Anolis sagrei: one gene and its partners. The protein of the gene in region 2 purifies or fractionates together with the protein of the main gene of each other region. This does not show direct contact. Links are inferred from orthologs where the notes say so. Each region holds a gene or a part of one and is shown on either strand. Other genes may lie near its edges. The genes, in order: STRN3, SLMAP, STK24 and STK26.

Evidence for each region.
Region 1: the proteins of SLMAP (region 2) and STRN3 purify together in Homo sapiens (affinity purification with mass spectrometry; 5 studies listed by BioGRID and IntAct, with this or other methods). This does not show direct contact. The link is inferred for Anolis sagrei from reciprocal best matches to the Homo sapiens genes SLMAP and STRN3.
Region 3: the proteins of SLMAP (region 2) and STK24 purify together in Homo sapiens (affinity purification with mass spectrometry; 6 studies listed by BioGRID and IntAct, with this or other methods). This does not show direct contact. The link is inferred for Anolis sagrei from reciprocal best matches to the Homo sapiens genes SLMAP and STK24.
Region 4: the proteins of SLMAP (region 2) and STK26 purify together in Homo sapiens (affinity purification with mass spectrometry; 5 studies listed by BioGRID and IntAct, with this or other methods). This does not show direct contact. The link is inferred for Anolis sagrei from reciprocal best matches to the Homo sapiens genes SLMAP and STK26.

Annotation. Positions count from the first base shown.
Region 1 is NC_090021.1:298,719,177-298,727,148, forward strand, and holds the start of STRN3 (striatin-3), read right to left. Parts: upstream 3,002-7,972; 5' UTR 2,766-3,001; coding exon 2,418-2,765; intron 1-2,417. Other genes in the region: AP4S1 (AP-4 complex subunit sigma-1), read left to right, coding at 3,370-3,374. UniProt on the Homo sapiens protein: Calmodulin-binding scaffolding protein which is the center of the striatin-interacting phosphatase and kinase (STRIPAK) complexes.
Region 2 is NC_090022.1:57,663,137-57,670,668, forward strand, and holds the start of SLMAP (sarcolemmal membrane-associated protein), read right to left. Parts: upstream 3,017-7,532; 5' UTR 2,924-3,016; intron 2,673-2,923; 5' UTR 1,728-2,672; coding exon 1,530-1,727; intron 1-1,529. UniProt on the Homo sapiens protein: Associates with the striatin-interacting phosphatase and kinase (STRIPAK) core complex, forming the extended (SIKE1:SLMAP)STRIPAK complex.
Region 3 is NC_090023.1:115,845,904-115,853,317, reverse strand, and holds the start of STK24 (serine/threonine-protein kinase 24), read right to left. Parts: upstream 3,006-7,414; 5' UTR 2,760-3,005; coding exon 2,715-2,759; intron 1-2,714. UniProt on the Homo sapiens protein: Serine/threonine-protein kinase that acts on both serine and threonine residues and promotes apoptosis in response to stress stimuli and caspase activation.
Region 4 is NC_090030.1:23,304,068-23,310,944, forward strand, and holds the start of STK26 (serine/threonine-protein kinase 26), read left to right. Parts: upstream 1-3,860; 5' UTR 3,861-4,244; intron 4,245-6,877. UniProt on the Homo sapiens protein: Serine/threonine-protein kinase that acts as a mediator of cell growth. Modulates apoptosis. In association with STK24 negatively regulates Golgi reorientation in polarized cell migration upon RHO activation.

The DNA of each region.
Region 1 (7,972 bases), on a different chromosome or scaffold from region 2:
TTAAAATCATAACTCCCATGATCCCATGCCATTGAACCCTGGCAGCTGAAATGGGTATCAAACTGCATTGATCCCACAGTGTAGATGCACTTTCAGAAATAATCGTATCCCATTTAATTTGTAATTGATCCACTCCTTTGGACTTCACACAAATCTACCATTTGCCATTATTCAGAAATAATAGCAAGGAGGAAGGAAATATGTGCTCTGAGTGATGATGGATGCACTCTCTCCAACGGTGACACTGGCCCCATCTGCGCTGCAGAGAATGCCGTTTGAAGCTGCATTATATGGTCAGTGTAGGCTCATACAATGCAGACTACACTGACCATAGCATGTCATTTCAAACAATATTATACAATCAGTGTAAAACTGCATTATGCAGTATGAAACTGCATTATATGGTCAGTGTAGGCTGCATTATATGAGCCTACACTGACTATATAATGCAGTTTCAAATGGCATTATATGGTCAGTGTAGGCTGCAATGAATGAACTTATACTGACCATATAATGCAGTTTCAAGTGGCATTATATCAGTCATGGGCAAACTTCGGTCCTCCAGGTGTTTGGACTTTAACTTCCACAAATCTTAACAGCCTACTGGCTGATAGCAATTGTTGGAGTTGAAATCCAAAACACTTGGAGGGTCAACGTTTGTCCATGCCTGCATTAAGTGGTCGGTTTAGGCTGCATGGCATGAGCCTACATTGACCATATCATGCAGCTTCAAATGGCAATATATGGTCAGTGTAGGCTGCATTAAATGAAGTTACACTGACCATACAATGAAGTTTCAAGTGGTATTATATGGTTAGTGTAGGCTGCATTGAATGAACTTACACTGACCATATAATGCAGTTTCAAATGGCATTATATGGTCAGTGTAGATCACATTAAATGAAGTTACACTGACCATACAATGAAGTTTCAAATGGTATTACATGGTAAGTGTAGGCTGCATTGAATGAAGTTAAACTGACCATAGAATGCAGTTTCAAAAGGCATTTATCAGGCATGGGCAAACTTTGGTCCTCCATTTGTTTTGGACTTTAACTACCACAATTCCTAACAGCCAACTGTGGGAGATGTTTGCCCATACCTGCATGGTATGGTCAGTGTATGAGTCTACACTGACCATATAATGCAGTTTCAAATGGCATCATAAGGTCAGCGTAGGCTACATTGAATGAGCTTACACTGACCATATAATGCAGTTTCAAACTGGATTCTGAGCAGTGTACAATGGGGTTAGTCAGTCAGTGTCACCGTTTGAGAATGCGGTTAGAGCACGTATTTCCTTCCTGCTGATTTTTGGAATCAGTGCTGTGGAATCAATGCACTTTGGCACCCATCTGCGCTGTCATTTATGAACAAATTCCTCTTGGGTTGTTGTTGGTTTTTTCGGGCTATATGGCCATGTTCTAGAGGTATTCTCTCCTGACGTTTCGCCTGCATCTATGGCAAGCATCCTCAGAGGTAGTGAAGATGCTTGCCATAGATTCAGGCAAAACGTCAGGAGAGAATGCCTCTAGAACTGTGGTTCTCAACCTGGGGTCCCCAGATGTTTTTGGCCTACAACTCCCAGAAATCCCAGCCAGTTGACTGGCTGTTAGGATTTCTGGGAGTTGAATCATAGAATCAAAGAGTTGGAAGAGACCTCATGGGCCATCCAGTCCAACCCCCTGCCAAGAAGCAGGAATATTGCATTCAAATCACCCCTGACAGATGGCCATCCAGCCTCTGTTTAAAAGCTTCCAAAGAAGGAGCCTCCACCACATTGGCTGTTAGGAATTGTGGGAGTTAAAGTCCAAAACAAATGGAGGACCAAAGTTTGCCCATGCCTGATAAATGCCTTTTAAAGGCCAAAAACATCTGGGGACCCCAGAATGAGAATCACTGCTCTAGAAGATGGCCATATAGCCCGAAAAAACCTACAACGACCCAGTGATTCCGGCCATGAAAGCCTTCACCATACATTAAATTCCTCCTGTCGGGATGACAGGTTTGGAGCGGCATTCGATGGAGCCGCTAGGCCGCGAAAGGCCTCGGAAAGGTTCGTCCATTTCCGGACAACAAATGGTCAGAAAGAGCGGCTCCGGGGAGGGGGGGGGGGGAGGATGTGGTGTGCCTCAGGTTTGGAGGCCGAGGAAGAACCGAGAGGAGAAGCGGGAACGAGAGGCCTTCACTTCTTGGACGGGGGCTCCTTTGACAGGCCCGGGCCCCGGCGGGCGCCATGCGAAGCAACCAAAATGGCTGCCCCGGGAAAGGAAGGCAGGCAGGGGGGACTGTGCCGAGTGACGGCGACGACGCCCCGCCACGCCCCGCCGCAACATACACACACACGTTAGCTGTAGTGCCCCCACGTCACGCCCCGAGAGCATGCCCCCTTCCCCTTTCCTTCCTTCCTTCCTTACCTGGAGCTCGGCCCTCTCCACTTCCCAGTGAGCGCGCTCCATCTCGAAGCGGGCCCACTCGTGCTGGATGTAGTGCAGGATCCCCGGGATGGTGTAGTGTTGAGGCCGGGACAGCTCCGACCCTCCTCCCCCTCCTCCGCCGGGGCCCACCGCTTCCTGAGGCGGCGCCGGGCCTTGAGGTGGCTGCTGCTGTTGCTGCTGAGGCGGCAAGCCCCCTCCAGGCCCCGCGCAGCCAGGGCCGAGCAGCGGAGAGTTGGCATTTCCCGCCGCGGGAGGCAAAGGCTGCTGCTGCTGTTGCTGAGGGGCCCTGGGCATGGTCCCTCCGCCGGCGCCGGGGTGCTCGTCCATTGTCCTCCCTCCCGCTCCTTTCCCCCCTTTCCCTTCCGCCTCGCTTGTTCCTTCAGAGGCGCAGTCTGCCAGGAAAGAGCCGGGGACTGGGTTTGGGTGAGAGCCGCGCGTCAGAGCAGCGCCCAAGGCGAGCCGCTGCTTCTGCCGCCGCCGGCCGCCATTACAGCCTCCGCTCCATCATTCTCAGCTCGCTCACTCACTCACCCACCCACACGGTGGGGAGGGGGGAGGAGGAGAGGAGGCTAGCAAGGCATGCTGGGAAAGAGCACCCGCCTTGCTCCGGAGTCGGCGTGATATGCGCCTGCGCGAGAGAGTGCGTCTGAGGGAAGCCGAGGCGAGGACCGCCGGCGTGCGCATGCGCGAGGGAGTCTGAGGGAAGCCGGGGCGAGGAACGCGGGCGTGCGCGTGCGCGAGGGTGTCCGAGGGAAGCCGAGGCTAGGTGCGCGAGTGTCTGAGGGAAGTGTGCGTGCGCATGCGCGACCGTGTCTGAGGAAAGCTGAGGAGAGAGAAAGGGGGAGAGGTTTGTTCGCTCGCTCGCTCTTCTTGGGCGGGTTTGTTTTCTTTCCAATGTCATTCTTTTCCTCGGCCTCTCACCTGTTCCTCTATGAGGTAAAAAAGGGGCACAGCTAGCCTTTATCGCAGTCATAGTCCAGGTGTTTTGGACTAACAGCTGACCATATAATGTAGGTATGGGCAAACTTCGGCCCAGGTGCGCGAGTGTCTGAGGGAAGCGTGCGTGCGCATGCGCGACCGTGTCTGAGGGAAGCTGAAGAGAGAAAAAGAGGGAGAGGTTGGCTCGCTCACTCTTCTTGGGCGGGTTTGTTTTCTTTTCAATCTCATTTTCCTCGGCCTCTCACCTGTTCCCCTATGAGGTAAAAAAAGGGACAAAGCTAGCCTTTATAGCAGGCATGGGCAAACTTGGCCCTCCAGGTGTTTTGGACTAACAGCTGACCATATAATGCAGAATATAATATAATATATTATAGAATACATAGTATATATTAATTTTATATATATATATATAATACAATATTATATATATATATATATATATATAATAAAAATAAATATATGACCATATAATGCAGAATATCTCTGTCTACGAACCCACGCGCTCTCTTCGTTCATCTGGAGAGGCCCTGCTCATGATCCCACCTGCGTCGCAAGCGCGTTTGGTGGGGACACGAGACAGGGCCTTTTCCGTGGTGGCCCCCCGACTCTGGAACACCCTCCCCAAAGATCTTAGACAGGCCCCTACATTGGCAGTCTTCAGAAAGAACTTGAAGACGGCTGTTCCGATGTGCCTTCCCCGAATAGGAAACCTCCAATACCAAGTCCCATAAGCATTTTATTAAAGCTAAGACCGCCGCACACTGGACTTGCCCATAAGCCTCATATTCCACCTGTCACATCAGCACTTTTAACTCTTGTACCCTTACTCTGGCCCGGCCCAGTTTTATTTTGTCTTAGTGGATTGTTCATTGCTTGTTGTTTAGATTGCTTTAATTGTTTTTAATTTGCCTAGGTTTTGTATTGTTGTATTGTGTGTTGAGGCCTTGGCCTTTGTAAGCCGCATCGAGTCCTTCGGGAGATGCTAGCGGTGTACAAATAAAGTTTAATAATAATAATAATAATATATTTCTACAGTGTAGATAAGGCATGGGCAAACTTCAGCCCTCCAGGTGTTTTGGACTTCAACTCCCACAATTCCTAACAGCTGGTAGAAGAAAGAAATACCAGCTGTTAGGAATTGTGGGAGTTTGAAGTCCAAAACACCTATAAAGACATGGTTTAAAATTGACTGGGTAATATATAAAATGTTTAGGACCAGAAGTATTCTGATTTCATATTTTTAGAACTGCTATATTTATATTTGTGCATATATAATGAGCTCTTTTGGAGATTCAAGACTAAACACAAATGTGTTAATGTTTCATGTGCACCTTGTACATATACTCTGTAGGCAATTAAAAAAAATGATTTTGTGCGAAGTGTACATTGAACCCTCAGAAAGCCAAAAATGTCATTGTCATTTCTGAATTTTGGAAGATTTCAGAATTCTAGATAAGAGTTACTCAACCTGCTAATGTTTTACACTTGTGAAGTGTTTCAAAGTGTTCAAAATGCTCCTTGATAGTTCAGTACACATTAGCCATTATCCTCCACACTGCAGACATCGATATGAAATCTGAACACGATAGTACAGGATTTGCATCTCTGACTCTTTGCCATTTTCTTGCTGCCCTTTTCAAAAAATCAAGTCAACTTGACATGAAACTCTATAGTGTAAAATCACTCACACTCTCACAGCTTCTGGAAGCTGTAAAGAGGACTTTACTTGACAAAGGAACTGCCTGAAACATGAGAAGTAGATGTACATTATCTGGGCATGTGCAGAGTACATTCCCCACATGAAGAAGGCCTATGTCAGATGTTAACCTTTGCAGAAAAGTGGAACATTGCTGGTATTTCAGTTATCAGTGCCTCTTAAATGTTTGAACTGGCATTATACCCAGGAACACACTAAATATGACCTGTTATCATTCAAAAGATAGAGAAATGGAAGAAACGATGGGCTGTTGAAAATAATTTTTGCACTGTTAGTAAGTATTTAAATGACTGCAGACATCTACTTTCCATGCTTCAGTCCAATTCCCTTCTAAAGTCTCTTGCTTATAGTAATTTCACTTGCAGTTCATCATCTTTCAGGGGAAGCTACTGTTTATTGCCCCTTTCGTTCACTTAAAATGGTTTCCCTGATGCTGGGTTATGCCAGTAAAAGATTCTTGGCATTCCAATTGCATTCCTCACATGTCTGTAACTGACTTCTTGGATGGACAAGAAGGCCACTTCTCTCACCACATGTACTGTACACTTATTCTCTCCCCCAGGACATGAAGCAGATTGATTCTACCACTGCTGTTGTTATTATTACACTGTCACCAAAAGCAGCAAGGCAGCAAATAGAAACAAGTACAGGCAGCCAGCTACTGGTATCAAATTACTACTATGAATATGAGATTAAATTAAGCGAGGCTAACCTCTCACTGAATAAGGAGGCAGGGCTTTCTGAGTAATCCCTCGAGGGTAGCTTTGGAAACTCCATCTGTAGAAACTCCATTGTGGAGTTGTTTAAAGCAGAGTTAGAGCTTCAGGGAACATGCCTTCTTTGGCCTTTCACAAATTACTCAGTCCTCTTTACAGGCTGGCTCTGTTTCTTAAAAGGAAAAGCTTGATAAACAAACTATATATATGTTGCACTTTATATTTTCACAGAAAGAGCACTTAAAAGTAGGTTTTCTTTAACAAATGGTTCTTTAACAAATGGACTATGGTAAAGTGTCCTTTCCTGCTTTAAATTATTGAGCATAAGGAAGTCTCAAAAGAAATTTTGCTTAAGGTAATTAGACATTTAAGGCCACAGTCTTGAAATCAATGTATAAACTAGAATTAAATATTGCAATTACTGTATATACTCGAGTATAAGCCTAGCTTTTCAGCCCTTTTTTTAGGCTGAAAAAGCTCCCCTCGGCTTATACTTGAGTCAAGGTTATTTATTATTTTACTCTGCTATTAGCATTATTTTTATTTCATGTATTATTCTACTGTATTATTATTACATTTACAGTATTTTACCCTATTATTATTACTACATTTATTATTTTACTTTATTATTATTGCATTTATTATTTTACTCTATTATTACATTTATTATTCTACTCTATTACTACTGTTATTATTGCATTTCCATTATTTTACTTTATTATTATAATTATTATTATATTTATTATTTCACTCTCTTTATTATTGTTGGAAGGATACGTAAGTACATTTACATTGAAGATATGTAATGATTTAATCAGAATTGGGCAGTCTTATCTCAAATTACAGTTTTATGTAAATATTAAAAAACATTTCACCTTCTGATGCCTCAATTAATGTAATTTTATTGGTATCTGTTTTTACTTTGAAATTTACCTGTAGTGGTTGCATTTCCCACCCTTGGCTTATACCCGAGTCAATATGTTTTCCCAGTTTTTTGTGGTAAAATTAGGTGCCTCGGCTTATATTCGGGTTGGATTATACTCGAGTATATACGGTATATTTATATTTTAGCCTCTTTGAACACTGCCTTAGCTTCCATGGTAGGAAAAAGGTGACCCAAATCTGGTGTTGTTGAATATAAGGTGCTTCAAAATTAAGAAGACCTCAACATTATAATATTGTTTACAATTTATTTTGTGATCTGTGTTTAAGCTATATCTCACCTTTCAGTCACTATTCTGTCTCATCACAGAAGTGTCATAACTAAAGCTGCTAGCAATGACCACAATCCATTTTGTGGGATTTTAAAGGTTCTCTTGTGATTTGGAGTTGGAGCTGTTATAAGGAAAGAGGGCCTCCAATGCGCTGTTAAAAGACCTTAATATCCTCTAAGCAATTTTTGTCTTTATCTATAAATTATAGAAATATTAAGTTATTTTTTCACACTGTTAGTGATTAATGTTCAGTAAGCTCTCTGTAAGGAAACCCAGCACTCATCTATAAATAAAATCAAGCATGAGGCAAATGATAGAGCACAAAAGAATTCAGAGTCAAAGTTGGCAGTGAATTACACTGTGGTGGTCACAGCTACTCATAGTTATGTGTAATCCAAATGCAGCAAGAAATATTATGGTACCATGATAGAGGTATTTGCACTTCGAAGCCAGTAGGCTTTCTTGAGTGAAATTGTCCCATCTGCCGTTTTCTAGCTCCTATTTAGCTGCTTGACAGTGTAGATTAGTATTTAAAATTAAGACTATTATTTTGTATTTATTAATCTGGCTATTTCTGGGTAGATGTGCATAGGATCGTAGTGCTTATGGGCTATTTTTGTCCCAGCACTACCTTGGACTCCTCCAGGCTATCATTTTCTAGCAAAGGGGGAGGGCTTAATTGCTTCTTCTGAAACATCCAGGGGCAGTGATTTACCTTTTGAAAAGATTCTTTAACACTAAAGCAAAGATGCATTTGCCCTGGACAGAAACGTACACACTACAAATTTATATAGAAATTACAACAGTTTCTATGAATTTGCTTCTTCAGAAGGACCTTTGGGATTATTGCTTGGCCAGATCAGAGGCAAGAATACAAAAAAAAAGTTTTCTGCCACTCTCAAATCTGTTTTGTTTTTATTTCCTGTTCCCCTCTTTCCTTCCCCTCTT
Region 2 (7,532 bases):
TGTGTGTTTTTTTTAAAAAAAACTCAAATCCTTCATAGCACCTGATATGATTACAGTCATTCAGAAAATACTGTTGAGGCTCTAAATTAGGTTAGTTGTCGTAGTTAGGCCCCAATGAAATCAATAAATGTGAAAAGCTAAATACAACTTATGTCAAACAAATAAGTAAGTAACCTAACATGGATCCAAATCCAATAATCATAGTTCAATATTGTACTGAGAAAAGCTTAAAACAGCTAGGACACCTTTATCCATATTTATTTAGTAGATGCCATTTATTAAATGTTAATTCTGAGTTTTAGTCTATGAGGCTCAAGCAAGGCCAACCAGTTACGCAGTCGTTCTTAACCTGTGGGTCCCCAGGATTTTGGGGATACTTCTAGTAAGTAATAATAATATTTATTTATTTATTTATTTATTTAAATCAGTGCTGGGCTGGGAAGAAATCCCTAAATGGATGGCCCTTGGTTTACAAGCTGGATGGCCACCTGCCAGGAGAGTTTTGATGGTGCCCTTCTACCTGGAAGAAGGGAGTTGGGCTAGATCAGTCGTTCTCAACCTGTGGGTCCCCAGATGTTTTGGCCTACAGCTCCCAGAAATCCTAACAGCTGGTAAACTGGCTGGGATTTCTGGGAGTTGTAGGCCAAAACACCTGGGGAGCCACAAGTTGAGAACCACTGGGCTGGTTGTCCCTTGGGGGTCCCCTCCAACTCTAGGATTTTTTGTGAAAATGAAGAATTGGTTAATATTTCTTTCTTCTATTAGTTAATATGAGAGACATTCAATGTTGTAGCTATTTTTTAAAAAAGGTTTTTGTCAAAAAAATTCCTAAAATCAGTAGATGTATGAATATTTCTTAAAGTTGAGGAAAATGATCCCCTATTATTTTGGGTCACTGTATAGACAATTCAAGGAGATAGTTCTTGCAGCTTTTATTTTTAAATGTTGTTCGTAAAATCTTTGAAATTTCCCCAAAATATTGTGGTTAAGTGAAATGTTCTGACACTTGATGGGCTAACAGTGGTAAATGTGTTCTACCATTGTAGCAAGTTCCTCCCCAACAGCTGTAAAAATGAGGGAGAAATGAGCCCCTGAAGTTCCCCCACTTGTGTAATTGCTAAAACTACAGGAATTGAACAGGAAGACATAGTTTTATAATTTTATTGTTTTTATTGCTTTTATGGTTTTTAATGTATTTGATGTAATTTTTTGCTTTTAACTGATGTATGTATTTATATACGGCATGTAATTGTTGCCGATTTGAACGCCGCCCTGAGTTGCCTTCGGGCTGAAATGGGCGGGAAAAAAGTGATGTAAATAAATAAATAATAAATAAACAAAAACTCCCATGAATCTACTAAAACTCCCAGGAATCCCAGCTGTTAAGATTTATGGGAGTTTACGTTTCAAGTTATGGGAGTTGAAGGCCAAAACATCTGGGGACCCACAGATTGAGAACCACTGCCCTAATGAAAACAAGGAAATGCAAAGTTTATTTTACTTCTCTTGGGGAATGTAGGGTGTCTTACCTTTCCTGTTTTCTGATCAAACCAGACAAGCGCATGGTTCCTAGACAGGACCTTGCAGTCAAAGGTGGCATTATTCTGAGCGGGTCGACATCGAGCCACTGAGCGCCCAATTTTGACAGGCTCATCCAGGTAGACATGGCGTTCTTGAAACGGGTGAGAGTTCGGGCGGCAAGTGAAGATAGCCAAGGCTGAAGGCATCGAGGAGAGATATGCGGTGCCACACCAACCAGGAAAGAAGAGAAACTCTTCTTGACCCAAGCCACCCTCCACAGTTGATGAGCAAAAACCTCGCAACACTTCACATTAAAGCAGGGCAAACATTATCTGCCAGTGAGATCTAACAACGCATACTTTCAGTGTGTGAACCAGTGCGGGCAATAATCCAGCAAAAAAGCCCCATTGTCTCCGGCAGCGAGTCTGCAAAGTTCCACTTTAATCCATGTCTGTCAATAATGAGGACAAGCATCTGAAGAGGAACAGAGCTTGTTAAATTAAGGTGGGGATGGCTATAACTCCAAGCGAATGACTCACGCGAAAATTCCTGTTTGGGATGTAATCGCGCTTTTCCCTTCCATCAACAGGGCCCAGGAGTTTCCCTCGCGCGGGGCAAGATTCAGGGAGTGGGGAAACGGGGGAAGGAAGGGCCAAAGGACTGCAAAACAACCCAACGTGAGAAAAAGGTGGTCAGCCCAGTCCAGGGGTGAGTCCACGGCTCGTCTTCCTCGGGCATCAAGGCAGAGTGAGGCACCTCAAGGCGAAGGGAGAAAGAAGCCTGTCCTCCTCCACCACCACCTCCTCCTCCTCCTCAGGCCCAGGCAGGAGGACTCAAAGGGCCGGCCGCCCAATGCTCCTGGGAGGCAGGGGAGCGCTCTTCCCGGCCAAGAGGGCTCCATGCACCTGGGAAGGCATCCCAGGCGGTGGCCTTTCCTGAGCAGGGAGGCAGATCTGACAGCAGGCGATGGCCAAGGGGAAGGAGAGGGGCCAGGGCACTGCAGGTGTCTCCTGCTGCTGCTGCTGCTGCTGCTGCTTCTTCTTCTTGGCTGAGGTGCAGGCCTGGCGCCTTCTTGCCTGCCTTCCCAACCTTCTCTCTCTCGCTTTCTGCCTCCCTCAGGAGTCCGTCGACGAGGAAAACTTTCCTCCGACCTGTGGGAAAAAGAAGAGAAGAGAAGCGTCAAAACAAACGCCGGGGAAGCTGAAGCGGGGAGGGGAGGCCGGCCCAACCGCCGCCTTCCCACTTCAGGAGAGAGCGAGCGAGCGAGGGAAGGAAAGAGGGCCGCCCTTCGCGGAAGGAAGGAAGGACAGCCAAGCGGGAAGCTCCCCTCCTTCTTCTCCTTCTCCTTCTCCTTCTCCTCCTCCCCTCCCTTCCCTGCCCTTCCCTCGCCAACCGCTCTTACCTTCCCAGCCGCAGTGGGAGCCGCCATACTGACTGGAAACCTACCCGGTATGGCAGCAGCAGCAGGAGGGAGGGAGGGAGGGGGAGGGGGAGGAGGGAGCCGAGCAGGGGGAGGAGCCGAAAGCAAAGCTCAGGGACGCCCGGGTTCCTCTGCGCAGGCGCAGAGCCGCAGCGCGCCCGGGCAGCGCATGCGCGGAAAGGGGACGCGAAGCCTGTGGCTTCCGGCTGGTTGCCCTGAACTAACCGGGCCGCTTCCGGATCTCTTCGGGAACACAAGAGGAGGTTGTTGCCCTAGTTGAAGTTCAGTGTTGTCCTTTATCCAGAGCGAGCGGGGAAAGGTCTTCTATGGGAAGGCGGGCAAAATAATGCTCTCGCTGTCCTCAGGGGAACTAAAAAGTTAATTCAGAATGTTTCAAAGATCAGGACTGCCCCACAGCCTGGATCCATGACACCTGTGTGGTGCCAAATGCCCTCACCGAAATCCCATCTGGTCTTGGAGGCCGAGCAGGGCCTGTCCTGGCTAGTTTTGGGGCCCTTCCACACAGCCCTATATCCCAGGATATCAACCCTAATGAGAGCAAATATGATTTGGGCCCCACCTACACTGATCATTTAATACAGTTTCAAGTCAGTATTGAAGAAAGTGGTTTCAATGTTCATATGATTACCTAGGAAAATCCTGGAACCAGTTGAAGGCCTGGGTGATGATTCCCCAAACCACAGAGCATTGATGCACATTAAGGGCTTTTAAAACATTTTTGTGAAGGTTTATTCTCTAGCCGCCACAGTTTGAAGCTAGCTTTGAACTGCATTAAATGGTCAGGGTAGATGAGGCCTTCGTTCATGGCATTTTCTCGGATTTTACAAATTAACCAGCCCTGGCTTTTGTAATTGTATGATATTGTATGATCTGTATTTTAGTGTATTTTGTATTAATGTATTATGATGCTATTAATTAATTATTTTGTAATAATTGTGCATTGTAATTGCTTATTGGTAATTTATGGATAATGTGTTAAGTCAATTGTTATATGTTGTATGGAACCACTGCTGTTTCTACTGTTTTTACTGTTTGTGAACCGCTGTGAGTCGCCTTCGGACTTGAGATACAGCAGTATATAAGCAAAGTAAATAAATAAGTAATAAATAATAAATATTATGTTTGCTATATTTGTGTTGAATTTTCTGCTGTTAGCCGCCCTGAGTCCCTCTTCAGAGGTCAAGAAGACCGGGTTATAAAAGCTCTAAATAAATAAATAAATTTCATTTTCGAAGGCACTAATTAACAAACCACAAAATTGCACATAAAAACACAATAAATGTGTCAGATTTCAAAACATGATAAAATCTTCCCCATGCCTTCTTCAGCATTTTACCATTTTCAGTAGGTCTCACTCCCAGTGGCCAAGTATTTTGCAAATAAAGGCCAATTCTTGTCCTTGCAATACTTTTATGCCACTTCATGATGTCAGCTGTAGACAATCTTTTTGTGTATAGAAATACAGTCACTGGATGTTGAAGAAAAAGCACCATGTCCGAGGGCAAATTTGAATAGTTTGGGGTTGAAAATGGTCCAAAAATCTGAAAACTTCAGGAGTCCTTCCACCCAGCCCTATATCCCAGAAAATCCCACATTATCGGAGTGTGGACTCGGATAACCTAGTTCAAAGCAGATATTGTGGGATTTTCTGTCTTGATATTCTGGGATATAGGGCTGTGTGGAAGGACCCCGAGTCCACACTGCCATATATTTAAGTTCAAAGCAGAGATTGTGGGGTTTTTTGCCTCTATATTCTGGGTTATATGGCTGTGTGGAAGGGACCTTGGATGGGAGGCTGCCAACTAACTCCAGGCTGTATTTCTGAGACAGGATCTGGGAAAACTAACACATAGGCCCCTTCCACACAGCTGAATAAAATCCCACGTTTTCTGATTTGAACTTGGATGTATGGCAGTGTGGAGTCATCAATAACTAGGCAGATAATCCACAATATCTGATTTGAACTGGCTTATCTGAGTCCACACTGCCATATATCCCAGTTCAAAACAGATATTGTGGGATTTTCCGCCATGATATTCTGGGATATATGGCTGTGTAGAAGGGCTCTAAGTGTCCCTTGCCTGTGAAAAAAATGCCTGTGTTCCTTCAAGATTTCTGGCAGTCATCATTGCATTAACATTGGATTTAAATCCAGTGCTGGCACCATCTAAAGTGGAAATTGATGGGCCTTTTTAGTCATGTTGTGATCGAGTTAACTTCAGCTTACGGTGGCCCCATTAATGAATCAGAATCATAGAGTTGGAAGAGATCCCAAGGGCCATCCAGTCCAATCCCATTCTGCCATGCAGGGAAAGCACAAACAAAGCACCCCCGACAGTTGGCCATTCAGCCTCTGCTTTAAAACCCCCAGAGAAGGACACTCCAGGCAGCATATTCCATTGCCAAGCAGCTCTTATCATCAGGTAGTTCCTCCTAATGTTTAAGAGGAATCTATTTTCCTTTGGTTTGAATTCATTGCTCCTTGTCTCCAGACTAGCAGAAAACAGGCCTGCCCCCTCCTCAGTGTGACATCTTTTCAGGCACTTAAATATGACAAACATATCTCCTCTCAATCTTCTCTTTTCCAAGCTAAACATATCCAGCTCCCTCATAGGGATTGGTTTCCAAGCCTTTGACTCTTTGCTTACCGTCTCTTTGAATCCATCCACCTGCAGTCTTTTCATACTATCCTCAACCAAGCTTTGTCATTTTTTTCCTAGTGTGTCATGTCTTCTCATGCTAAGTCCAAAATACAACAGTCTCAGTTTAGTCATCTTGGCTTTTTAGGAGAGTTTAGACCTGATTTATTATATAATTAATTCATTTGTCTTTTCAGCAGTTCACAGTATCCATAGAACCTTTCTCCGCCACATTTCAAATTATTTCATTTTTTTTCTTATCAGCTTTTGTTGCTTCTAGCGCTCACAACCATGCATAGAAATTGGAAACATGATGGCATGGGCAATTCTAATTTTAGTATTTAATAATATATCCTTACAATTCAGGATCTTATTTAGTTCATAATTTCCCTTCCAAGCCTTTGTAGCTCCCTACATGGTTTGGGTCCAGGTTACCTACAGGGTCACCTTCTTAGGACACTGAGGTCATCTGGTGGTCAGCTACTCCAACCAACCAGAACCTGACTGGCAACTGTCACCCAGAGGACCTTTTCATTGGCTGCCCCAAAACTCTGGAATGATCTGCCAGAGGACCAACAAATTTAAGAGCTGTCCAAATTTAAACCAAAATTAAAGGCCTATCTCTTCGGTCAGACCTACCCAGTCAACTTTGAAACATGAATTTTGGATTTGAATTCTATTACTGCTATATGTTCATCTTTGTACCCTGTATTTGATGTATGTTTTTATAATGGTGCATTTCTATTGATATATTTTATTATATGTATTTTATTTTCGTATGTTTTGACTGTTAACCTCAAGCTGTTAGGAGAACCGAGTAACATAAAATGTATTATTATTTGTCGTAGTAGTCTTCTTCTGATTTCTTGCCTACAGTCTCTGTTCTGATTGATGACTGGACGAAGTTATGGAAGATACTGACCTAGTTCAATGTTTTAATTATCTACTTTAAGATTATTTAAATCACCTATGGTCATTTTGTTTTGTTTTAGTTATCCTAGGTCCTCTTTATTTCAATAAATATTACTAGCATTAGATTTACTTTAGTGCTGCCCAGAAGTAAATTCCATTTAACTCTTTGACTGTTTACTCAGAAGTAGGTTTATGTTCATGGAACTGTTAAGTTCCATGAACATCACAGTAACTCACAGTTAAGAAAGTAAGATACTTGCCAATAGCCCTTTTTTTGCTGGAATTTTACAGGGTCTATAGAGACTGTTGTTCTTCTAAGCCTCCTTTGTTTTTCCACTACTAATTACATCATCTTTACCACATGGAATATATTAAGGAGAAGTGGAAGTACAACACAATGCTTCAGGCATTTCTCAATGTAGCACTTCTCATATTAACAACTCAAAGGAACTGTACAGCTATTTCATGTTTTTTTCCCCATAATGGATTTTCTGTTGTATTTATTTAATTCATATCCTGCCTTCCTTCAAATATGGGACCTAAAATGACTAAAACAAAACATATTTGAAAGTTGTCATGTGGAAAACAAATTTAATTAATTAATTAAATAGTTTTAAATCATTTTATCAGTAAAAATAAGAGCAGTTGAATCTGTGAATGCAAAATCTATGGCTAGTCCCAAGCAGAGTAGTCTCTTTCAATCAGTTGTTGAATGGTGAGACAACACATCCTATAGACATAATTGGTCTACTCTAATGAGTGTAAATATGATTTGGGCCCCACCTACACTGACAATTTAATACAGTTTCAAATCAGTATTGAAGAAAGTGGTTTCAATGTACATATGATTACCTAGGAAAATCCTGGAACCAGTTGAAGGCCTGGGTGATGATTCCCCAAACCACAGAGCATTGATGCACGTTAAGGGCTTTTAAAACATTTTTTGTGAAGGTTTATTCTCTAGCCACCACAGTTTGAAGCTAGCTTTGAACTGCATTAAATGGTCAGTATAGATGAGG
Region 3 (7,414 bases), on a different chromosome or scaffold from region 2:
ACCCCAGAACCCTCAGTCGACTTATCAACTATCAATGTGAGTTGATAGTTTGACACCATTCTCTGAGTGGTGTCAAAAGGTGAGAGTTTAGTCTGTCCCAAGAGGAAATTTTAAAAACCGCACAGGCCCCTCTCTCTCCACATTTTTGAAATACCTGGGTGGGGAGATACATCTCAAGTGGCATTGGTGCTTTCCCCCTCTCATAGAATGAACTTCAACTTATTCATGGGTCATGTCAAAATCCATCATTTTGGTCCCAAAACCTGCCCTTAACTTATAAACTATTAGTATATTCAGCAACGAAATCGACTTACAGACTATGAGTATACAGGCAGTCCGCAAATTACAAATAACGTAGGTTCTGTAGGTGTGTTCTCTAGTTGAATTTGTATGTAAGTTGGAACAGCTACATTTTTAAGTGTAACTCCAGTGAGAGAGAGAAAGAGAAAGAGAGAACGAGGTTTGGATGACATAGGGAAGGGTTAACACCCCTCTGGTGCTTGTTTTACTGTCTGTGCCCCTGTACAGAAGATTTCACCTCACTTTCTGTCCCTGTGATTTGGAAAAAATTGGCTTGTTGAGGAAACAAGGATTAGTGATAAAATTTCAGTGGAGACATATTTTCCCCATGATAGGAGTGAATTTCCCTTCCGAAGGGTATATTTCTTTTACTTCCTGTTGTTTCATGCTCGTTTGCAACTATGAGTTGTTTGTAACTTGAAGCTGCCTGTATGCAGCAATATCTTTCTGATCCAGGGTATGGGAGGGAGAAATTAACTAAAGACTGGATCTTGAATTCTGTGTGTGTGTGTTTGAGAATGGAAGTGGGGAAGAGCTATGCACAACTATGGGTGAATAAGAAGGGGGAGGTTTTTATGAAGACAGCAGGCTGTTGTTCTGGGGGGCAAACCGAGTACCCACTGCTGTTATAAATACTGTGGGTCAAATGTATTTTCTCTACTTATATCACAGGATATATACACCAAAATTGGATTACACTGTCCCAAGGATTTCAAAAGCTTTCACTTGCTGTTAACCAGTGAACTTGGCCCCTAGCTAATGCTATGCACAGGGGCTGTCAGACAGGAAGTAATGAACTCTGCAGCAGGAAGTTCTTAAGCAAGGATGCATCTACACTGCACAATTAATGCAATCTGACACTATCTTAGCTGCCACGGCTCAATGCTTTGGAATTATGAATGCTGTGGTAATACAAGACCTTTAGCCATCTCTGCCAAAGAGTGTTGGTGTCCCACCAAACCACAATTCCCAGCATCTCAAAGCATTAAGACACAGCAGTTAAAATAGTGCCAAACTATATCAATTCCATGGTCTAGATTCACCCTAAGCCTTTCATTTAAGGAAATGCAATGAAAATTATCAGTCCTTCAGTTCACGCTTTTCTTAGAGCTAGTATGCAGTATTGGAACTCTCTGCCCCAAACTGTGGTGGAGGCTCTTTCTTTGGTGGATTTTAAACAGAGGCTGGATGGCCATTTATTGAGGTGCTTTGAATGTGATTTTCCTGCTTCTTGGCAAGGGGTTGGACTGGATGGCCTACGAGGTCTCTTCCAACACTATGATTCTAGCAGTTCAATATTCAGAACAAGACTTGTTCTGTTCTATGAAGATGCCTGGTTAACTCCACCAAAGATAAATATATTTCCATATACTCCCTGAAGCTTGCACCCTGAATATGCCTCCCCTTCATTCCCCCACAGGCATGCCTTAGGAAGAAAAGGAAGCACACTTCTCCACAGCCCAGCTCCCCTTTCTATTACCTCCCTTTGTGCATGTCCAATCTTTCCAGCCAAAACAAGACCAAGGGGCTGCTTTCTGCTGCTGCAGCCGCTGAAGGACAGGCAGAAGAAATGTTACCACTAGGTCACTATAACTGGTGTGTGCACCCACCTCTTCCTCTTTGCTAGGCCAGAACATGGAGGGAGGCTGTCCTATCTATCCTTTAAAGCAGGCATGGGCAAACTCCAGCCCTCCAGGTGTTTTGTGCTTCAACTCCCACAATTCCGAATTGTGGGTGTTGAAGTACAAAACACCTGGAGGGCTGAAGTTTGCCCATGCCTGCTTTAAAACAATCCCACCCAATGCACTCCCATCCACAACAAATATTGCCTCAAGGACACCATCTCAGTGTTGACTTGCCCGAAATGGACAGCAAGATAGATAATACAAGGAAGAAAAAGGTAAACAAGAAGCCTGTACATCTATCCAACAAGGGCAAAGGGAGGGAGGCACTTCAGATTATTATTGTTAGTATTATAATCCAGGACACGCTGAAGGTCAACTCTTCTGAACTGCAGGGGTTTTGTTTAGGGCTGGATAGTGCATGAAAAACCCAATTACTGTGCAAGCCCTTAGGAGAGAGAAGCAGGGTGGAAATGGGATATAATCGATGTTAGCAGGGGAGGGAGGGGGGAGAGGGGAGGGATGGCGACCCCTAACTCAAGGGAGAGGAAACCCACAGGCAAAGTATGCACACACACAGAGACACAAATGCCGCTTGGCTTCCTGGGGAAAGAGTGGTCACTCCGTGGTGCCTCTATTGCAAGCCCCGCCGCCTCCTCCTCGAGCCTTGAAGGCCCTTCCCAAGGAGAGAGCCTGCCTGGAGAGGAGCCTCCTCAGGAGAAGGGGCTGCGCAGGAGGCGAGCGCGCATGCGCGGCGGGGAAAACGGCGAAAGGCCCCTTCCTCAGGCTCACCTGCATCCCCGGCAGGCCCGGCTGCTGCACCGGCGAGTGGGCCATGATGACGGCGGAAGCCCCGCCGCCGCCGCCGCCTCCTCTTCCTCCGCCACCGCTGCTGCTCCCGCTGCCTCTCCAGCGCCGTGGCCTTCGCTTGAGGAGGAGGAGGAGGAGGAGGAGGAAGGGGAGGAGGAGGAATCACCTCAGCCCCATCGCCTCCCTCCCCCGCCCCCAGCAGCGCCCCACAGAGAGAGACAGAGCGCGAGGGAGAGAGGCGGGCATGCGCAGAGCAAGAAGGGGAGGGGTTTTCGCCACCCGGCCTTCTACGTCACGGTTGGGGCGGGGCCACGTAGACCCCGCCTCCCGAGTGCGTCACCAAGCGAGTCGGTTTCTCTCTTTCTCATTCCTCCCCTCCCACTACGGAATGCAGAGTCGTAGTCTCGCGAGATCTCTCACTTTTGTAGGCAAAGGGTATTGCTGCCACTCTTAACTAGAGAGAGGGAGGCGGGCATGCGCAGAGGAGGAGAGCAGCTTTTGCCACCCGGCATTACGTCACGGAAGGGGCGGGGCCGTGTAGACCCCGCCTCCCGAGTGCGTCACCAAGCCAGTCGCTTTCTCTCTCGCTCTTTCTCATCTCCACCCCACCACTATGGAATCCCGGGAGTCGTAGTCTCGCGAGGTCTCCCACTTTAGTACCCAGACGGTATTGCTGCCACTCTTAATTGCTCTGGGCGGGCATGCGCAGAGGAAGAGAAGGGGAGGAGCTTTTGCCACCCCGCCTCCTACGTCACGGGCGGGGCGGGGGCCGTGTAGACCCCGCCTCCTCAGTGCGTCACCACGACGGTCGCTTTCTCTCTCTCTCTCTTTCTCATCCCCCCTCCATGGATTCCCGGGAGTCGTAGTCTCGCGAGGTCTTCCACTTTTGTAGGCAAAGGGTATTGCTGCCACTCTAAACCGCCCTGACTCAAGGCTGTGGAAGCATTGGAGTTGTAGGAGAGCCCCCGGGGGAGCAATGGGTTAAACCTTTGTGCCGGCAGGACTGCTGAACGACAGGTCAGGGGTTCGAATCCGGGGAGAGAGGGTTGAGCTCCCTCTGTCAGCTCCAGCTCCTCATGTGAGGATATGAGAGAAGCCTCCCACAAGGATGGTAAAAAACATCAAAACATCTGGGCGTCCCCTGGGCAATGTCCTTTGCAGACGGCCAATTCTCTCTCACCAAAAGCGACTTGCAGTTTCTCAAGTCGCTCCTGACGCGAAAAACCCCTCAGCCTTCCCTGCCAATGAGTGCTACAGTATTACCGCTCCCATGATCCCACAGCATTGCAAGTGGTGCCAAGCTGCTTTTATTCTAGGTTGCTGTGAGTTTTACGGGCTGCGTGGCCATGTTCCAGAAGATGTTTCGCCTGCATCTATGGCAGGCATCCTCAGAGGTTGTGAGGTCCTCTGAGGATGCCTGCCATAGATGCAGGCGAAACGTCAGGAGAGAATGCTTCTGGAAGATGGCCATACAGCCCGGAAAACACAGCAACCCAGTGGTTCCAGCCATGAAAGCCTTCAACAATACATTGAATCATAGAGTTGGAAGAGACCTCGTGGGCCATCCAGTCCAACCCCCTGCCAAGAAGCAGGAAAATCGCATTCAAAGCACCCCCAACAGATGGCCATCCAGCCTCTGTTTAAAAGCCTTCGAAGAGGGAGACTCCACCACACTCCAGGGCAGAGAGTTCCGCTGCATAACAGCTCTCCCAGTCAGGAAGTAATGTTCAGGTGGACTCTCTTTTCTTGTAGTTTGAAGCCATTTTTCCGCATCCTAGTCTCCAGGGCAGCAGAAAACAAGCTTGCTCCCTCCTCCCTGTGACTTCCTCTCACATATTTATACATAGCTCTCATGTTTCCTCTCAGCCTTCTCTTCTTCAGGCTAAACATGCCCAGCTCCTTAAGCTGCTTCTCATAGGGCTTGTACTCCAGACCTTCCAGACATTGCTTTCTTTCTAAATGATGTTGCAAGCTCACATCGTCCCAACAATCTTGTACTTTTAGTATTTCTTCTGTGGGAAATTGCCCAGTGTGGAATACATCTCACGATGTTAAAACAGTGGATGTGGTTCCTAATGAGAAATGCTGCATTATCAGAGGGCCACAGTTTGGTGATGCCTGGTGTAGATTGAGGGAAGTCATGTTACCCCTCTATTCTGCTTTGGGCAGAAACACCTGGAATACTGTGTCCAATTCTGGACACCACAATTCAAGAGAGATATTGACAAGGAAGGTGTCCAGAGGATGGTGACTAAAATGATCAAAGGCCTGGAGACCATGTCCTATGAGGAGCATCTTAAAGATCTGGGTCTGTTTAGCCTGCAATAGAGAAAGTTAAGAGGAGACATGATAGCCAAGTATAAATATGGTTTTTTTTGGTCGTGTCAGGAGTGACTTGAGAAGCTGCAAGTCGCTTCTGTTGTGAGAGAATTGGCCGTCTGCAAGGACGTTCCCCAGGGGACGCCCGGATGATTTGATGTTTTATCATCCTTGTGGGAGGCTTCTCTCGTGTCCCTGCATGAGGAGCTGGAGCTGATAGAGGTAGCTCATCCGCCTCTCCCCGGATTCGAACCTGCGACCTGTCGGGTCTTCAGTCCTGCCGGCACAGGGGTTTAACCCACTGTGCCACCGGGGGCTCCTAGTATAAATATGTGAAAGGATACCATAAGGAAGAGGGAGCAGGCTTGTTTTCTGCTGCCCTGGAGAAGAACTTTCTGACCATGAAAGCTGTTCAGCAGTGGGTCTTTGCCTCAGAGTGTGGTAGAAGCTCCTTCGTAGGCTTTTAAGCCGAGGCTGGATGGCCATCCATTAGGGGTGCTTTGATTGGGCTTTCCCTGCATGTCAGAGCGCTGGACAGGGGAGTCTCTTTCAACTCTATGATTCTAATGGGGTTGTTGTATGCCTTCAAGTCATTATTGGCTTATGGAGACCCAAAGGTAAATCTATCACAAGATTTTTGAACTTAAAAGGTCCAAGTGTGGATTCACACCTGTTTTCCAATGCCATAGTCCAGTGTTCAAACCATTATGCCACACTGGCTTCCACTTTACAAATCTGCCATAGTAAATAAGGGACAGCGAGTTCCAGTTTAATTGTGTATTCCATGCCGCCGCAATGATTTTTAATGTTTGGCGCTTAAATACAAGAACAAGAAAAGAAACACATCAAAGTAAATCACACCAGTGTCTTACATAAACTAGGATGCAAATATCCCTTCAGTTATCTATTTGTTGCTGTGAATGGGTTAATGGTAAATAACAATGAAAGCAAAACAAATAATTTTAGAAAATATAATCTCAATAGGATTCTATGTATTTGCATAGATAACAAGAAAATCTTGGATTTGTTCATAACAATCCTTCCCTAGGCAATCACTGAATTCCTTTCGTGGGATGATCAATTATCTTAAGTTTCTGCGTTAACCTAGTTACTGTGTCACACCCAGAGCCAAACTCTTCAACAATTAAAATAATTGGTGTTGATCAAACTCATTGCAAAAACGTAACGACACCAAAGGCAGTCTAATTAGGCCAAGGAAGAATTTCATAGCCACATCTTTCTTCACTGCTTTTCTGCGGCCGGTTGCTAGGATCATCCATCTCCATATTCTAGAAAATATGTGCCACTGAGTAGCAATTATGCCATTAATGTTAGACTCGACGTTGTCATCTTAAATATAAACACCCCATTAAATACAGTGTTTAGTACACTGATGTGTATCACGTCACTGAGATGTATTATTTTACTTTTTTTTCAAAATGTATTAAATTATGCTCCTTTATTGTTTCATGATCATACATTAGAAGCCCCAGCCACAAAAGGGCATTCTTGTGATTGCACAATATCATGGTTAGTAGCTAAAGATTTTCCCCTGACATGAAGTCTAATCATGTCCAACTCTGGGGGTTGGTGCTCATCTCCATTTCTAAGCTGAACAGCTGGCGTTGTTCATAGACACCTCCAAGGTCATGTGGATGGCATGACTGCATGGAGCGCCATTACATTCCCGCCAGAGTGGTACCTATTGATCTACTCACATTTGTATGTTTTTGAACTGTTAGGTTGGTGGTTCAAATCCACTCCCCGGATTTGAAGTGCCAACCTTTCGGTCGGCAAGTTCAGCAGCTCAGTGGTTTATCCTGCTGTGCCACTGGGGGTTGTCACTTCAAACCAATGTTCAACTCATTTCTAGGCTGTCCTTCTCCATTAAAGGGGTGGGGAGAGAGAGACTCTCATATTTAGGCAGCAGAAAGCGTTTCAAAAAAAATGTCAATGTAGTGCAATAGACCAACCGCATCAGCAAGTTTGAGACATGTACATATTCTTGTGGTCATCATTTTTCTTCACTTCCCCACCCACAAGCTGCTGGCTATCCCTCTTCCAATAAACAGCCAGAGGGGACCTGCAAAGCTGTAACTTCCCACTTTCTCCCCATCTTCTTCATTTTCCAAATAATTCGAGTAACCGCAGTTTCACAGGTAATTCCAGGCACTAACAAGGTCTTCCCTTGTTGATCAAGTATTTCCTTAAGTTTTTTGCAAGGCTTTGAATTGGATTATATGAGCCTACATTGCCAGATAATCTGGGACCCTGGGATATAGAGCAGTGTAGATCCAGCCAAAAGCAGCACTTATAGCAGGCATGGGCAAACTTTGGCCCTCCAGGTGTTTTGGACTTCAACT
Region 4 (6,877 bases), on a different chromosome or scaffold from region 2:
CGGCTCTCACAGTCAGGTTTTAAACAGAAGCTGGTTGGCCATCTGTCAGGGTGCTTTGAATGCAATTTTCCTACTTCTTGGCAGGGGGTTGGACTGGATGGCCCATGATATCTCTCCCAACTCTATGATTCTATGAGGAACTGCAAACTTGGCTTAAAAAGTTCGAGGACCCTTGCTTTAAAAGACATCATTTCCGTCCAAGCTAAATGCATTTGTTGTTGTTTCGATCCAAACTTCCCGCACAACAATATTCCTTATTCTTGGCCATTGATCCTCACCCCACTCATCCAGGCAGAACATTTTGTGGTCCTGTGCAAAGCCAGTTTTTGTTGATTTTACATTAAATAAAAAAGTCACTGTCAAGTATGTTTTGGGGTGGGTTTTATTTATTTTTTGCAATGGAGCCCAAATTTAATTGTAGTTGGCAACGTTTGGGGAACATTCAAAGGTATGCATTCATTGGGCTTCAGAGTGTCCATTGAGTCAAATCCCTATTTCAGGAGTTGAGTTTCGCCAATGTTTGGAATCCCTCCCTATGTTTATTCTCTTTTACAGTATTCCCATTCCGTTCAGTCCGCTTTCAAATCCTGAATTTCCTGCTGGCCTCCTTGGACCCACAGGCTAAAAATAGCCTAAATGCCATCCATTTCGGTGGAGTGGAAAATAACCAAATTGGACGGAGAACCGCAATATGTTTTCACTTACAGTACTGTCTTTCACTGCTGTGGATGCAGTCAAAAGATGTGTCACAGGGCGCATCCACACTGTAGATTTAATGCAGTTTGACAGCACTTGGACTGCCAGGCTCAATGCAGCGCAGAGAGGGATAAAGACCCCGACAAACTACAACTCTTGAGATTCCATAACATTGCAAAGTAAAAACAAAACAAAATACTGAAACCCCCTTTGGCCCACCCTGTATATATAAATATCTTTATTCATCCCCAGCTCTTCATTTAAACACGTATCCCCCTCCGGAATGCACCCCCAAATTGCCCTCACTTCTATTGACTCCCATTCTTAGGTCTCCTGTGTTCGTCCTCAAAAAAAACCCCACTTGAATCCTAGTTCCTCCTTCAGTTGCCACCGACACACCTCACTTGTGTCGTCAAAGGGACCCTATACATTTCTCATGGTTCCTTCTGAACCCCCAAATTTGCCCCATTATCCTCCTCAGCTCCATTTAATTCCACTACTTCCCCCCACCAACTCTCTTGACCACTCTTTGCTTTCTTCTCCTCCTTCCTTCTTATGGCTTCCTCCTCCTGTTCTCTCTCTACTTCTTTCCCTTTTCCTCTACTTATGGCTTCCTTCCTTTTCCTCCCTCCGCTCCTTCTTTCTTTCTTCTTCTTCTTCTTCTTCTTCTTCTGGCTTCCTCCTCCTGTTCTCTCTCTCCTTCCTTCCATTTTCTTCCTCTTATAGCTTCCTTCCTTCCTAACTCCTCTTTTCCACCTTCCTTCCTTCCTCCTCTTATGGCTTCCTTCCTCTCTCCTTCCTTCCTCCTCCTTCTTGTGTTCTCCTTTCTCCTTCCTCCTCTTCTCTCTCCTTGCTTCCTTCCTGCCTTCTTCCCCCTTCTTCTTCTTCTTGTGGTTTCCTCCCTCCTTCCGCCTCTTCGCTCTCTCTCCTTCCTACCTTGCTCTCCTTCCTTCTTCTTATGCTTTCCTTCCTCTTTCCTCCTCTTCTCTCTCCTTTCTTCCTTGCTCTCCTTCTTCCTCTTTTGGTTTCCTTGCTCCCTCCCTCCTCTTCTTCATACCCTTCTTCCCCTTCCTTCTTCTTCTTGTGGTTTTCTTCCTCTTCTCTCTCTCTCTTCTTCCTTCCTCTCCTTCCTTCTTCTTCTCTTCATGCTTTCCTTTCTTCTTCCTACTCTTCTCTCTCCTTCCCTCCTTGCTCTCCTTCCTCTTCTTCCTACCCTTCTCAGCCTTCCTTCTTATACTTTCCTTCCTCTTTTCTCTCCTTCCTTCCTTCCTTCCTTCCTTCCTTCCTCCTCTTATGGCTTCCTTCTTCCCTCCTCTTCTTCCTACCCTCCTTCCCATTCCTTCTTCTTCTTGTGGTTTCCTCTACCCTTCCTCCTCTTCGCTCTCTCTCCTTCCTTCCCTGCTCTCCTTCCTCCCCTTTCTTCTTCTTCTTCTTCTTATGGTTTCCTCCCTCCCTCCTCTTCTCTCTCCCTTCCTTGCTTTCCTTCCTCCCCTTATGGCTTCTTTCCTTCTTCTTCCTACCCTTCTCCCCCTTCCTTCTTATGGTTTCCTTCCTCTTCTCTCTCCTTCCTTCTGGCTTCCTTCTTTTTCTTCTTCCTACCCTTCTTCCCCCTTCCTTCTTCTTCTTATGGTCTTCTCTCTCCTTCCTTCTCTTATGGCTTCCTTCCTTCTTCTTCTCCTTCCTCCTCTTCTTCCCCCTTCCTTCTTATGGTTTTCTTCCTCCTTCCTCTTTTCTCTCCTTCCTTCTCTTATGGCTTCCTTCCTTCTTCTTCTTCTTCCTACCCTTTCCCCCCTTCCTTCTTCTTCTTATGGTTTCCTTCCTCCTCCCTCTTTTCTCTCCTTTCTTCTGGCTTCCTTCTTCTTCTTCTTCTTCCTGCCCTTCTTCCCCCTTCCTTCTTCTTCTTATGGTTTCCTTCCTCCTTCCTCTTCTCTCTCCTTCCTTCTCTTATGGCTTATTTCCTTCTTCTTCTTCCTAACCTTCTTCCCCCTTCCTTCCTCTTCTCTCTCCTTCCTTCCTTGCTCTCCTTCCTCCTCTTATGGCTCCCTTCTTCTTCCTATCCTTCTTCCCCTTCCTTCTTTTTCTTATGGTTTCCTTCCTCCTTCCTCTTCTCTCTCCTTCCTTCTGTTATGGCTTCCTTCCTTCTTTCTTCTTCCTACCCTTCTCTCCCTTCCTTCATCTTCTTATGGATTTCTTCCTCCCTCCTCTTCTCTCTCCTTCCTTCTGTTATGGCTTCCTTCCTTCTTCTTCCTACCCTTCTTCCCCCTTCCTTCTTCTTCTTATGCTTTCCTCCCTCCTTCCTCCACTTCTCTCTCCTTCCTTCCTTGCTCTCCTTCCTCTTCTTCCTACCCTTCTTTCCCTTCCTCCTTCTTCTTATGGTTTCCTTCCTCCCTCCTCTTCTCTCTCCTTTCTTCCTTGCTCTCCTTCATCCTCTTATGGCTTCCTTCTTCTCCTTCCTCCTCTTCTTCCCCCTTCCTTCATCTTCTTAAGGTTTCCTTCCTCCTTCCTCTTCTCTCTCCTTCCTTCTGTTATGGCTTCTTTCCTTCTTCTTCTCCTTCCTACCTTTTCCCCCCTTCCTTTCTTCCCTCCTTCCTCCTCTTCTCTCTCCTTCCTTCCTTCCTTGCTCTCTTTCCTCCTCTTCTTCCCCTTCCTTCTTCTTCTTATGGTTTCCTTCCTTCTTCCTCTTCTCTCTCTTTCCTTCTCTTATGGCTTCCTTCCTTCTTCTTCTTCCTACCCTTCTTGCCCCTTCCTTCTTCTTCTTATAGTTTCCTTCCTCTTCTCTTTCCTTCCTTCCTTGCTCTCCCCCCTTCCTTCTTCTTTGTATGGCTTCCTTCCTCCTTCCTCTTCTCTCTCCTTCCTTCTCTTATGGCTTCCTACCTTCTTCCTTCCTTCCTGGTCTCCTTCTTCCCTTTTCTTCTTCTTATAATGGTTTCCTCCCTCCTCTCTCCTTCCTCCTCTTATGGCTTCCTTCCTTCCTTCTTCTTCTTCCTACCCTTCTTCCCCTTCCTTCTTCTCCTTATGCTTTTCTCCCTCCTTCCTCCTCTTCTCTCTTCTTCCTTCTTTCCTTCTTGCTCTCCTTTCTCCTCTTCTTCCCCCTTCTTTCTTCCACTTATGCTTTCCTCCTTCCTCCTCTCTTTCCTCCTCCTTCTCCTCCTGGGCCTGCCCTCTTCAGGGGCGGAGGCTGAGGAGAAAGAGGCGAGGCCAAGAAGAGTGAGGCGAGGCGGCGAAGGGGGGAAAGGGAAGGAGAGAAGGCCGCCAGGAGGAAAGAACCAGGCCGGGCCTTCACTGCTGCTGCTTCACTTCACTTCTGCCGCCGCCTTTGGCCGAAGGAGGGAGGCGCAGAGAGAGGGGGAGCGCGCTACTCGAGGCCGGGGCTGAGGCGGAGGCCTAGGCCTCCCTCCCCTCCTTCCCTCCTTCTCTCCCTCCATGATGGCGTCCTCCTGAGACGGAGGAGGCCCTTCCTTCCGCGCCGCCCGGGGGAGCGGGTCATGGGCTTCGGCGCCGGAAGGAGACGAAGAAGAAGAAGAAGAGGCAAAGAGAGGCAGGCCCAGGTGAGGCCTGGCCTCGGGGATTGGGGGTTGTGTGTGGATTTGGGGTTGTGCTCCTCCCCATAGAAGAGTTGCCAAGTGGGCTTCTTGTGTGTGGATTTGGGGTTGTGCTCTTCCCCATAGAAGAGTTACTTGTGTGTGAATTTGGGGTTGTGCTCCTCCCCATACAAGAGTTGCCAAGTGGGTTTCTTGTGTGTGGATTTGGGGTTGTGTTCTTCCCCATAGAAGAGCTGCCAAGTGGGCTTCTTGTGTGTGGATTTGGGGTTGTGCTCTTCCCCATAGAAGAGTTACTTGTGTGTGGATTTGGGGTTGTGCTCCTCCCCATACAAGAGTTGCCAAGTGGGTTTCTTGTGTGTGGATTTGGGGTTGTGTTCTTCCCCATAGAAGAGCTGCCAAGTGGGCTTCTGGTGTGTGGATTTGGGGTTGTGTTCCTCCCCATAGAAGAGCTGCCAAGTGGGCTTCTTGTGTGTGGATTTGCGGTTGTGTTCTTCCCCATAGAAGAGCTGCCAAGTGGGCTTGTTGTGTGTGGATTTGGGGTTGTGTTCTTCCCCATAGAAGAGCTGCCAAGTGGGCTTCTTGTGTGTGGATTTGGGGTTGTGCTCTTCTCCATAGAAGAGTTACTTGTATGTGGATTTGGGGTTGTGTTCCTCCCCATAGAAGAGTTGCCAAGTGGGCGTCTTGTGTGTGGATTTGGGGTTGTGTTCCTCCCCATAGAAGAGTTGCCAAGTGGGCTTCTTGTGTGTGGATTTGGGGTTGTGCTCCTCCTATAGAAGAGTTGCCAAGGGGGCTTCTTGTGTGTGGATTTGGGGTTGTGTTCCTCCCCATAGAAGAGTTGACAAGTGGGCTTCTTGTGTGTGGATTTGGGGTTGTGTTCTTCCCCATAGAAGAGCTGCCAAGTGGGCTTCTTGTGTGTGGATTTGGGGTTGTGCTCCTCCCCATAGAAGAGTTGCCAAGTGGGCTTCTGGTGTGTGGATTTGGGGTTAGGGTTAGGGTTAGGGTTAGGGTTAGGTTGTACTCCTAACTCATTGGGTTAGGGTTAGGGTTAGGGTTAGGTTGTACTCCTAACTCATTGGAGAGTTACTAAGGGGGCTTCTTGTGTGTGTATTTGGGGTTGTGCTCCTCCCCATAGAAGAGTTGCCAAGTGGGCTTCTGGTGTGTGGATTTGGGGTTGTGTTCTTCCCCATAGAAGAGTTGCCAAGTGGGCTTCTGGTGTGTGGATTTGGGGTTTTACTCCTAACCCATTGGAGAGTTACTAATGGGGCTTCTTGTGTGTGGATTTGGGGTTGTGCTCTTCCCCATAGAAGAGTTATTAAGGGGGCTTCTTGTGTGTGGATTTGGTGTTGTGCTCCTCACCATAAAAGAGTTACTAAGGGGGCTTCTTGTGTGTGGATTTGGGGTTGTGCTCTTCCCCATAGAAGAGTTATTAAGGGGGCTTCTTGTGTGTGGATTTGGGGTTGTCCTCCTCCCCATAGAAGAGTTGCTAAGGAGGCTTCTTGTGTGTGGATTTGGGGTTGTGTTCCTCACTTTTTCCCACAGGCCAGGGATTCAGGAGGCTGTGGATGAGGGGTTGTGTTCTTCCCCATAGAAGAGTTGCCAAGTGGGCTTCTTGTGTGTGGATTTGGGGTTTGCTTGCCCATAGGCTAGGGGTTCAAGGGGACTGTGGGTGAGGGGTTGTGTTCTTCCCCATAGAAGAGTTACTAAGGGGTCTTGTGTGTGGATTTGGGGTTGTGTTCCTCCCCTTTTCCCATAGGCCAGGGGTTCAGGGGGCTGTGGATGAGGGGTTCTGTTCTTCCCCATAGAGGAGTTGCTAAAGGGGCTCCTTGTGTGTGGATTTGGGGTTGTGTTCCTCACCTTTACCCATAGGCCAGGGATTTAGGGGGCTGTAGATGAGGGGTTCTGTTCCTCCCCATTGACTAGTGACTGTAGGTTGGGGTTTTTCCCCATAGAAGAGTTGCTAAGGGGTGTATGTGTGGATGAGGGATTGTGTTCCTCCCCATAGAAAAGTTACTAAGGGAATTTCTTGTGTGTGGATTTGGGGTTGTGTTCCTCTCCTTCTCTATAGGCCGAGGGTTCAGGGAGACTGGGGATGAGGGGTTGTGCTCTTCCCCATAGATTAGTGTCTGAGGAGGCTTCCTGTGTGTGGATTTGGGATTGTGTTGCTCTCCTTCCCCATAGGCCAGGACTTCAGTCGAACTGTGGATGAGGGGTTGTGTTCTTCCCCATAGAAGAGTTGCTGAGGGCGCTTCTTGTGTGTGAATGAGGGGTTGTGTTCCTCTCCTTCCCCATAGGCTAGGGATTCATGGGGATTGTGGATGAGGGATTGTGTTCCTCCCCATAGAAGAGTTGCTAAGGGGGCTTCTTGTGTGTGGATTTGGGGTTGTGTTCCTCTCCTTCCCTATATGCTGAGGATTCAGGGGGACTGGGGATGAGGGGTTGTGCTCTTCTCCATAGACTAGTGACTGGGGAAGCTTCCTGTGTGTGGATTTGGGATTGTGTTGCTCTCCTTCCCCATAGGCCAGGGGTTCAGAAGAACTGTGGGTGAGGGGTTGTGTTCTTCCCCATAGAAGAGTTGCTGATGGGGCTTCTTGTGTGTGGATGAGGGGTTGTGTTCCTCTCCTTCCCCATAGGTTAGGGAT